2 linked regions of the Drosophila melanogaster genome follow. The protein of the gene in region 2 interacts with the protein of the main gene of each other region in a pairwise test. Each region holds a gene or a part of one and is shown on either strand. Other genes may lie near its edges.

The links.
Region 1: the proteins of CG30183 (region 2) and CG10943 interact in a two-hybrid assay, tested with the Drosophila melanogaster proteins (one large-scale study listed by BioGRID).

What each region holds. Positions count from the first base shown.
Region 1 is NT_037436.4:12,861,147-12,865,083, reverse strand, and holds CG10943 (uncharacterized protein), read left to right. Parts: upstream 1-2,163; 5' UTR 2,164-2,272; intron 2,273-2,326; 5' UTR 2,327-2,365; coding exon 2,366-3,292; 3' UTR 3,293-3,367; downstream 3,368-3,937. Other genes in the region: CG32107 (uncharacterized protein), read left to right, coding at 3,800-3,937.
Region 2 is NT_033778.4:23,694,638-23,699,912, forward strand, and holds the start of CG30183 (uncharacterized protein), read right to left. Parts: upstream 3,188-5,275; 5' UTR 3,039-3,187; coding exon 3,030-3,038; intron 2,972-3,029; coding exon 2,558-2,971; intron 2,505-2,557; coding exon 1,805-2,504; intron 1,629-1,804; coding exon 643-1,628; intron 596-642; exon of another isoform or gene 546-595; coding exon of another isoform or gene 1-545. Other genes in the region: angel, read left to right, coding at 1-545; mRpL43 (mitochondrial ribosomal protein L43), read left to right, coding at 3,587-3,723, 3,786-3,892, 3,958-4,292.

The sequences.
Region 1 (3,937 bases), on a different chromosome or scaffold from region 2:
AAGAAAGTGAATTTCTTTGGCTTGCTTTCATTAAATATATCAAATTATCGAAGTAATATTACAAAATTAATTCAAAGAATCTTTCATCTTCCCTTAATATCCTTTTATCGTATTTTTTATCCAAGTGTTTTTGGCCGTCTGTTTAGCCTGTTGTTGCCGGAAAAAGGGCAGTGGGTGGTGTTGGGTGGTGGGTGGTGCTGTCACTTTCTGGATGTCGGAGGATGTTCTATGTTGGGTGGGTGGTTGATTGCAGTTCAGCTCGGCAGCTTGGCAGCCTCGGCAAGTGCAAAGGCCTTTTGCGTGGCAAGGAAATTAGAAATGGAAATTATTATCGTAATTCGTAATGTTGCTGCAATTGCAGTTGTTGTTGTTTTGTTGTTGTTGTTGTTGCTGTTGTTGTTGCTGTCCGTTGTTGTTGCTGTTGTTGTTGTCTGTTGCTGTTGCTGTCATGTAATTACACAGCACCCAAACAACCCGAAGAGCGTTGATTGTCGTTATTAGAAGTAGTTTGCTGCTGCTCTTCTGCTTGGCTCCACTCTTGTTTTTGTTGCCCCAGCGAATCGTGCTTCGTCGTTCTGCCGCCGGATACCAGCCAGCCCCGCATCCCCTCTTCACCCCTTCGACATCCTTTCGACCCCCAATTCGATGGAAATTTATGTGGCGGAAGCACCCCAACCCTCACGCCTGAAAATACTGAATGTGGTGCAAAATTCGACTACCAAGGAGACTAACTTGTCGTTAGAAGTCGGCAAATAGTTGTTCTAAAGGGAAAGTTCTCAAGGGTGAACTGAAGTCGCAAACACTACTTTTTATTTGCAATTCAATTTAAAGACATTGCGAAAATGTAAAGCAAGTTGTATCAATATTAAGAATATTATAATAAATATCTAATAAACAGAAATAACATTGTTTCTTTAAAACTATAACACTAGAAGAAATACAATCATTCAATGAAGAAATGTTCTTTTATTGAATATTTCTAAAATATATTCCTAAATATTTTATAATAATTAAATAAAAGTATATATTAGAATGGCCAATTAAACGAGCCAATATACATTATCAAACTAATAATCGAAGAATTAGTATTATTGGAAGGTAAGAAGGTAAAAATAAAACTAAGTCCTGTTTTGGTTCTAGATAGTTCAATACTTTTGAATGATAACTTCAAGGGCCTAATCACTTCACTGCGGTTCATTGGCCCCGGATATGGACTATTTAATATTACCAAGGGTACTTGCCCCATAGTCATTGCTGCAGAAGGGGTTAATAGTCGACCAGGGACAATGACATTGCGTTGGAGGTGGAACCAAAAGCTGGCAGGACGAGGCCTAAATATATGTATATAGGCAAGGAGTGCAAACTTCAGCCAATCGATAAAAGTAGCTGCATATGCAATCGAGAGGGCCCGAAAACAGGGCCAAGCATTTCCGCTATCTATGTAAAGCAACGGATTCGAAGAGTGAGTGGAAGAGGAAGTGGGCGGGGCCATTGAGGGGCTGCGTATCCTGGTGCAGCAAAGTTTGCCTATCGTTTCCGCTTCGTCCTGAAACGAAAGTGTTGTCTACGATTTCCAGCACTTGCTTAAGAAACTTAAAAACGAAACGGGAAGGAGAAATAAAATAAATTTAATTGCCTACCTTGTTGATGTTGTTGTTGTTGTTGTTGAACCTGCTTGTCCTCTCGACTTAACCTGTTTTCCTGCCATTTTCTGACGCCAGCGAAATGGAAAATGATTTTACAACGGCCAACTGCCGAAAAGAACATGGAAAAGAATAAATTAATTCGTATTTGGCCGAAGCAATCGCCCCCGTTTTCCCAGACTTTATCTTTTGGTTTTCATTTCCAAGCGGATGCCGTCTAATTGATTCAATTTGTATTCATTTTACATGTTACCCACGATCTGGATTCGTAATTAATGAAAATCCAAAATTCTTATAAAAAATCATTTACATTTATATGATAAAATTGGGAAAGTGGAAAAGCTGTGAGATTGCAGGGCAAAAAAAATAATACTCAATCAATTCCGAGGTTTTGAGGCTATACCTTATCAAGTGTGCAATATTTAATCAAACTCCTGATTAGATTATTGTAAAGCAATGAGTAACACCAGGAGATATTCGATTATTATAGAAAAAAAACCTAAATGAACCTTTCAGTTCGCTTTTTCCTACCAACCAATGCGGTCTACATATTTTCTATCGCTATGAATTCAAGAAGTAAAAGCGCTATATTGCATTTAAGTTCAGATGACACAGAATCATTTTCGAAGGTATAAATAGTATTTCTTTTTGAAGAACATTAATTTTAGCATTTATCTTTTTAGGCGAATTATTGTGACTGCAACGATTTCGATGAACCGAAAATGAACTTAAAAATGGTACTTGAAAATAAGCTAAGAGACATGGAATTTAAATTGGCAATTGCCAACGAAAAGTTGGCCATATTTGACGATAAAATTAAGGACAAAAACGAGATAATTGAGGCCTTAAAAATGTCTAACAACCTTTATAAATCAGATTATAAGGATAGATTTGATGCTCAGGCAAGCATAATTGAAAAACTAGAGGAGGAATTGTCAACCTTAAGAAAAGCGAAGTTAAACTCTAGCCAAGATCTTGAGACAACCAAAAATAAATCAAAGTTAAGATCAACAATTTTTTTTTTTAAAGAAAGCGAAAAGGAAAAAAAGTTACTTATTTCTTCCCTCGAAGCGCAGATTAAAGAGAAGGCTAAAACGGAAATAGAAAACTCACAACTTATTAAGTCCTTAAAGTCTCAGATAGGCGACAATGATGTAAAGCTAAAGGACAAACAAGATCTTATAGCAACACTCGAAGCTCGTTTGAAAGAAAGCGATAGTAAAAATATTGAAAACGAACATATGATCCAATCTCTAAGCGTTAAAATGTGTAGGATAATTTCTGAAGAGAAAGAATATAAATCTCTTATAGCAACCCTCAAAAATCAGATAGGCCAAAAAAGCGAAACACTGGAAAAAAATAAAGGGATAATAACTTCACTCAAGGCTCAAATAAAGGAGAAAGATAAAATAAATGGTGAAAACTCAAAAGTTATAGCAAATCATAAGGCACAGATTAAAGAAAAAGATGACCAAATCACATATTTGGAATTGGGTCTAAATTTGGAAACTTGTAAAACGCGGGAAAAGGATGAGCTATTAAACGATCAAGCTGCTACCATAATGAAACTGCAATCTAATCAGGAGAGAGTGAAAGAAACCCATAAACTTATACCATCAGAGGGTCAACAAATTTCCAACGCTTTGTAAACAAATTTATTTAATAAAACATATATACTTTTATATCGCAAAGAAGAATGTTGTACATTTCAGCTTTATGTCAGCAAGGGGACGCCATCATGCGGGAATTTCAATGACGACGGTGCTGCCACCCTCGTGAAAAAAGGTCCTTTAAACCGCTATTCCCAAATACGTTTAAATATTTCCCCATTATTCAATTTACTATAAAAAATTCAACGGTCGTTGATTTTTTCGGGAAGTCCCCTATTTTTATATTGCTAATCTGTAGTGCAAATACTTCATCAATAAATGGTTATCTTACAATTAGATAATGGTAATAGTAACAATAAAAAAATGTGAGCTGTATTATCTAGCCTTTGATACAAAAGACAAGGTGTTCCAGAGAATTTGCTTTTTATTACATTTGACAGCTTATCATTCAAGATAACCGAATAACCAAAATAAACCTTTTTTCGTTTGCGGTTAGTCAGTGAGAATTAGCTGTTCGAGGGAATGGCTAGCGCCAAATTTGAAACGATGATGGAATATTTTGGTTTAGAAGAAAAAACAACGATTTTTAACTTAAATCCTTACTGTTTATATGAAATATTTCGTCAAATTCACAAAAACTGCGCATTCAAGCAAACCAATGATATATTTTTAAAGTACAGTGAT
Region 2 (5,275 bases):
TGGAGCTGTACGACCAGGCGGTGGCTCTACTCAATCGCGACAATGTGGCCTTGTTTGCCAGGTTCCGATTCAAAAAGCAGCAGGAGCAGCAGAAGGAATTCGTGGTCGCCACCACGCACTTGCTGTTCAACACGAAACGGAGCGATGTCCGTTGCGCCCAGGTGGAAAGAATTTTGGAGGAGCTGCAGTCGTTCTCCACCGACACACCTATCGTCCTGACTGGTGACTTTAACAGTCTGCCCGACTCCTCGCCTATTGAATTCCTCGTTGGCAAGAATGGGGATGTGGATTCCACAGCTTGCCCAGAACCCCTGCATTTCGAGATCATCGATTCGGGCGAAGGTACTGCCTCCACATACCAGAACGAATGGGTTATCGTGGACTACATCCTGCGCTCGCTAGGATCGCGGAGCAGGCACAAGCTCTTGCCTCTCAGCGTCTACTCACTGCCCTCAATCAACCGGTGCATCGGGGCGGGACAGATCCCCAATTACCGTCTGGGGTCGGATCACTACGCCTTGGGTGCAGTATTCACCGTTGTCTAGTATTTAATCTCTTCATGCTTTCTTGGACTCATCAATAAAGGTACGAAATGAACATGCCCACTTATTATAAAGTAAAAGATTAAGGGAAGGGACTCACCTGAAAGGTTCTAACTGCGTGCTCATCGCTAGCCTCCAGCTTGGCCCTGATGCTGCTGAGCAGATAGCCCATTTTAGTGATGGTGACGTCCTGGTCGAGATCCTTGTGATACGAGCGATAGGTGGTGGGTGATGTTGCTGCTGCTTGAAAGTCCAGCTTGCGGGCTCTGTTTGCACGGGGCAGCTTCTTCGGAGGCGTCGGTGCCTTCACCTTGCGTTCGAAATCGAAGTACGGCTGCTCTGTGTCCAGCTGTTGGCGGGTGGATGTGGTCGTACCCGAGGGCGTGGTCTGCATGGGGGAGTGGTAGCTTCCCGGCGGAGACTGTGACTGCAGGTCCAGCTGCGAGGTAGATGTCTGTACGCCAATGGTGCACTGCTGGGGAGTGAATCTGTGCTGATCCAGCTGCGTGTGCACCTCCTGATTAGACTTCTTCGGCGAGACGAAGCGCAGGATCTTCTTTTTGGAGTTGTTCAGAAAGTTCTTGGACTTCTTTCCAAGGTTCTTCGGTTTGTTACCCTTCCAAGGAGATAGATTGCGCCACTGCTCGCTCCAGATGAACTTCTGGCTAGCCTGACCTCCTGCCGTGTTAACTCGACTGGGATACTTGATGGGCGTCTCCTTGTGCACCATATTTGATGCCAGGTTCTCGGAAACACTTCCGTCAACAGTGTCCAAGGAAACCTTTGGCACTACGGGCTGTGGCTGTGCTTTAGGCATTTGCCATCCAATGGCTACTTGCGGTTCCGCCGGTGTCCTAAACTCGCTGGCTGTCTTGCCCTCGTAGTTGAGCATATCGGTGATCTTGGGCTCTGTCCAGCCAAGAATAACCTCCTTGGTGGGCGCTCCTTTCCGCCTACTCTCCTGCCGAATATTCCGGTCGTAATTTGAGCCCCGCTTGGATTCCACTACGCGCTCAATGTCACTGAGCGAGGGGCAGGTGGGCAGTTGCTTGTTGCTCCTGGGATGCCTGGGCTTCTCTACCTCAGCTAAAGAAAGACGCAAAGCTCGTAAAAACATCGAAAACCAAGGAACCAATTAATGAAACCGTAAGCCAAATGTTTGGATACAAAACACTTTATTTGGTAAATACATTTGATTTTTGGTAAAAATAGTTTCTATTTGGTTACGGTTTCATTTTCTAGGGCTTACGGGTATAACTTACCCATGGGGAACGATCTGCGCTTGCTGTCTTTTTTGAGCGATGGTTCCAGCTTGCTCGTAGGCACCTGAACGCCACGTTTGCGCAGAAACTCGTCCAGCACTCGCTCGGCCTCCCGCACCGAAGGATTCGTGGAGGTGAGCGAGGATTGCGATAGCTTCCCGTCCAGACTTTGGGAGCTGCGACGCGGCGGCTTCGGAGGCGGCAGCTGCGAGTTCCGTGCCTTGAAGCTGACTTGACCCTGCGAGAGGCGCTTCTGCAGCAGGCGTCCACCTGCTCCGGAACTGCGTCGAGAGCGGGAACTCCTGCGACTTGGCGGCTCGGTGGCCAGCTCTTCTTTCTCCTGATCTTCCTCCACAGCGGATTCCTGTTCGCTGATGTTAGACAAAACAGGAGCTGAGGGCTTATAGGCTATGGGCTCATAGGAAAGCATTTTAGTAGGCTCTCTCTGTGTGCTCCTGTGCCGGCACCTGGAGCTAGAATCTGACAGTTTGTGGCGGTTCACGCGCACTTCGGACACCACACAGTTGTCGTGCAGCTCCTGGATGATGTGTATAAGCGGTTCATCCTCGCCGGCCACGGCTCTCAAGCGACTGACAGCAGTTAAGGGAGTTTTCAAGCCAGAATTTATGCTGGCCGGCTCGCTTCGACGAAGTTTCTCCGCCTGCTGCCGCTGGCTACCGAGATTGTTCTGCTTGGCGGGCTGTAAAATGTGAGTTTAATGAGGGAACTGTAGCGGGCTGGTTAGTGGCTTACCTTGGCGCTCTCAGATCGCCTGCTGCGCCTTGGTAGTCGCACGTGCTGGTCACGTGGCGGTGCCGTGGAGCCGCAGTCTCCGCTGTCGCTGGTGAAGCAGTAGCAGAAGCCGTTCTGGCACGGCTTCCCCTTGCGCTCCTGCTCCTTGTTGCAGCGATTCTGGTTGATTAGGTCCGCATCCGTGGTTCTGCGGACTCGGGGAAGTTGTCGGGACATGTTGATGTGGTTATTGTTGGTCTCGCAGTCGCGACTTTGAGTGGACACACGGCGAATGCGGCGTGCCCTAAACTCGTCGATGCACTCCTGCAAACTGAACGACGATGTGGAACCAGACTCGGCGGAATCCTCCTCCTCCTCCTCCCCCTCTTCTTCATCAACTAGAACATGTTTGGAGAACTTTGAGCCTACAAAAGTCTGGAGGCCAATATGCTGTTCATTTGCACTTGTGATTAAATAGCGATTTAATGCTTACGGTGGCCATTTTGCAGTCTATGTATTTATGGAGCTGATTAGACCAGCTGCATGTGCTCCACTTTTACACGTTGCACGCTTTCTACTCCGCTTCTACTTCGTGTTTTTCCAATCAAATGAAAAGCGACGCCTCGCCTGCATTTTTGTTTTCCGCTTTGTGCCGCTTCTTCTTTATCAGCGAAAGAGAGAGAGGAGAGAGTGCATAACAGCCCTGTCTTGCGTCAGAGATTGGGCAATTGGCTGGTATAACTCAGGCAGCACTATATTCATATGCTTGAAATTGTTATTATTTATACAATTGTTCAAATGGGCTTTACTATTTATTATTTAATTCAGCGCGGAATAGGTTCATATTTAAAAGAGGATGTGCTAGAGATTAATTATGTTCCAATGTAAGCTGGGGTTATAGGGGTTATAGCTATAAAACATAATGTTTCTAGCTAACTCGTCATCTCTGGTCAGAGAGAATCAGCTGTTTGCGGCATGCTATTACGTCGTCTCTTATTTGGAATTGTAAAAAATAGTTAAAAATTGTTTTGAATTAAAAACAAATACAGAATGTCAAACAGCCACTTGTTCTTGAAGTCCGGCTTCCCCCGTGCACCCCTGCAAAATGGATTGGGACGCTATGTTTGTCAGCTCCAGCGGATCACCCTGAAGTTCTGCAAGAATAATGGATCCAGCAGAGGCATGCGGTAAGCAAAATCCTTAAATGTTTACATATAAAGTAAAATTAATCATACGAAACGTTCAATAGCGACTTCATTGAGAATCACTTGCTGGACTTTGCCAAAGAGAATCCCGGGATTGTGGTCTATGTGAAGCCCAGGCGCCACCGCACGCCAGTTTTGGTGGGAGAGTACTGTACGTATACATAATGTATAAGGATGCTCCCTAGAATACACTTTAAATATGTCATCCTGTTCCAGTGAACGGCGAGCGCGAATGGATGAGCTGCAGGAACAGCACCCAAGAGGAGATCTCCAAGTGGATTGACCTGCTAAAGACTCAAAACGGCAGCTCCAGCTCCCTGCGACTCCGGAAAATGTGGCATACCGAAGTGCCCTCCATCCAAGGCCCGTGGACGCCATTCCTGCTGCGTTCGCCGGATGCCCAAGGCCAGGCTTACCCCAGTGCCGAGGCGTCAAAGCCGCTGGATACGCCGCAAACTGCCACCGAGAAGCTCATCGAGTTGTTCCGGCAACAGCAACTGGAAGCTGGCGAGGAAGCACACGACGTGCTGAACAAAAAGCGGGCCGAGTGATAGGGATTAGGACTTTTTGGTAATTGTTGCTTTTATTTTTATAGTCAACATAGTTTTGTTGGTAAACAAATAAATATTTAAAATCTAAACCACTAAACTTGTGCCTCCATCGCTGGAATATCGAACCAAAAGTCATAGAAAAATGCAAACAACTTATTGTCCCCTTAGCTATGTTGCCTTTCAGATAGTTTCGATATGTTTCGGGTAGTTGGAATATCATTGTGGGAGTATCATAAATAATGCTTAAGGTTACCGACCCCTTGGAGGCTTGGAATACGAATACGAATACGAATACAAATACGAATAGAAATAGAAACAGGTTCTGGTGACGACTTAGCATAACCAACTTAGCATCGACTAACGACTGCAGGTGAGATGGGTGGCTCCGATCGGCGGCGATCGGTTAAGTACGCAAAGGTCTGACTAAGACGTTGATATAGTTACTTGCGGGTGCACACAGCGAGTTTGGGAGTATCAAAAAGTAGACCACGAATAAGTAATTGCTTATGTGCCGAAGTATTTTCCATCTAACACTTAAAACTATTGTACATATAGTTACTTTCACACGTACGATCAACGATCAACTTACACACCGATAAAAGCATTTTGCTCGAGTTTACAATTTCCGTTTAGTGAATTCCTTTGGCGAAATGCATTTGGTTCTTCCTAATTATTACTACATAGACCTTGAGTACACGAATGTTAACGTTGTCATCAAAATAATCAATACGGACGTCTTTACACTTTTGATATTGTTGTCAATGTTATATCACTAGTTGAACTAAATTAAACTTCTCCTTAAACCCATGTCTTTTTTCCATTCTTTCCCAGCTCTGCTTCATCTCTGCCGCTGCTGGCCCATATTTATACCTAGATTTTGTATTTTGGTGGTGATGGTGGTGGTGGTGGTGTTGGTGGGTGAGCTTTAAGCAAGCGTTTTCCATTCGCAACTAGCTACTGGCTGCTTTTTGGTTTCGATATAT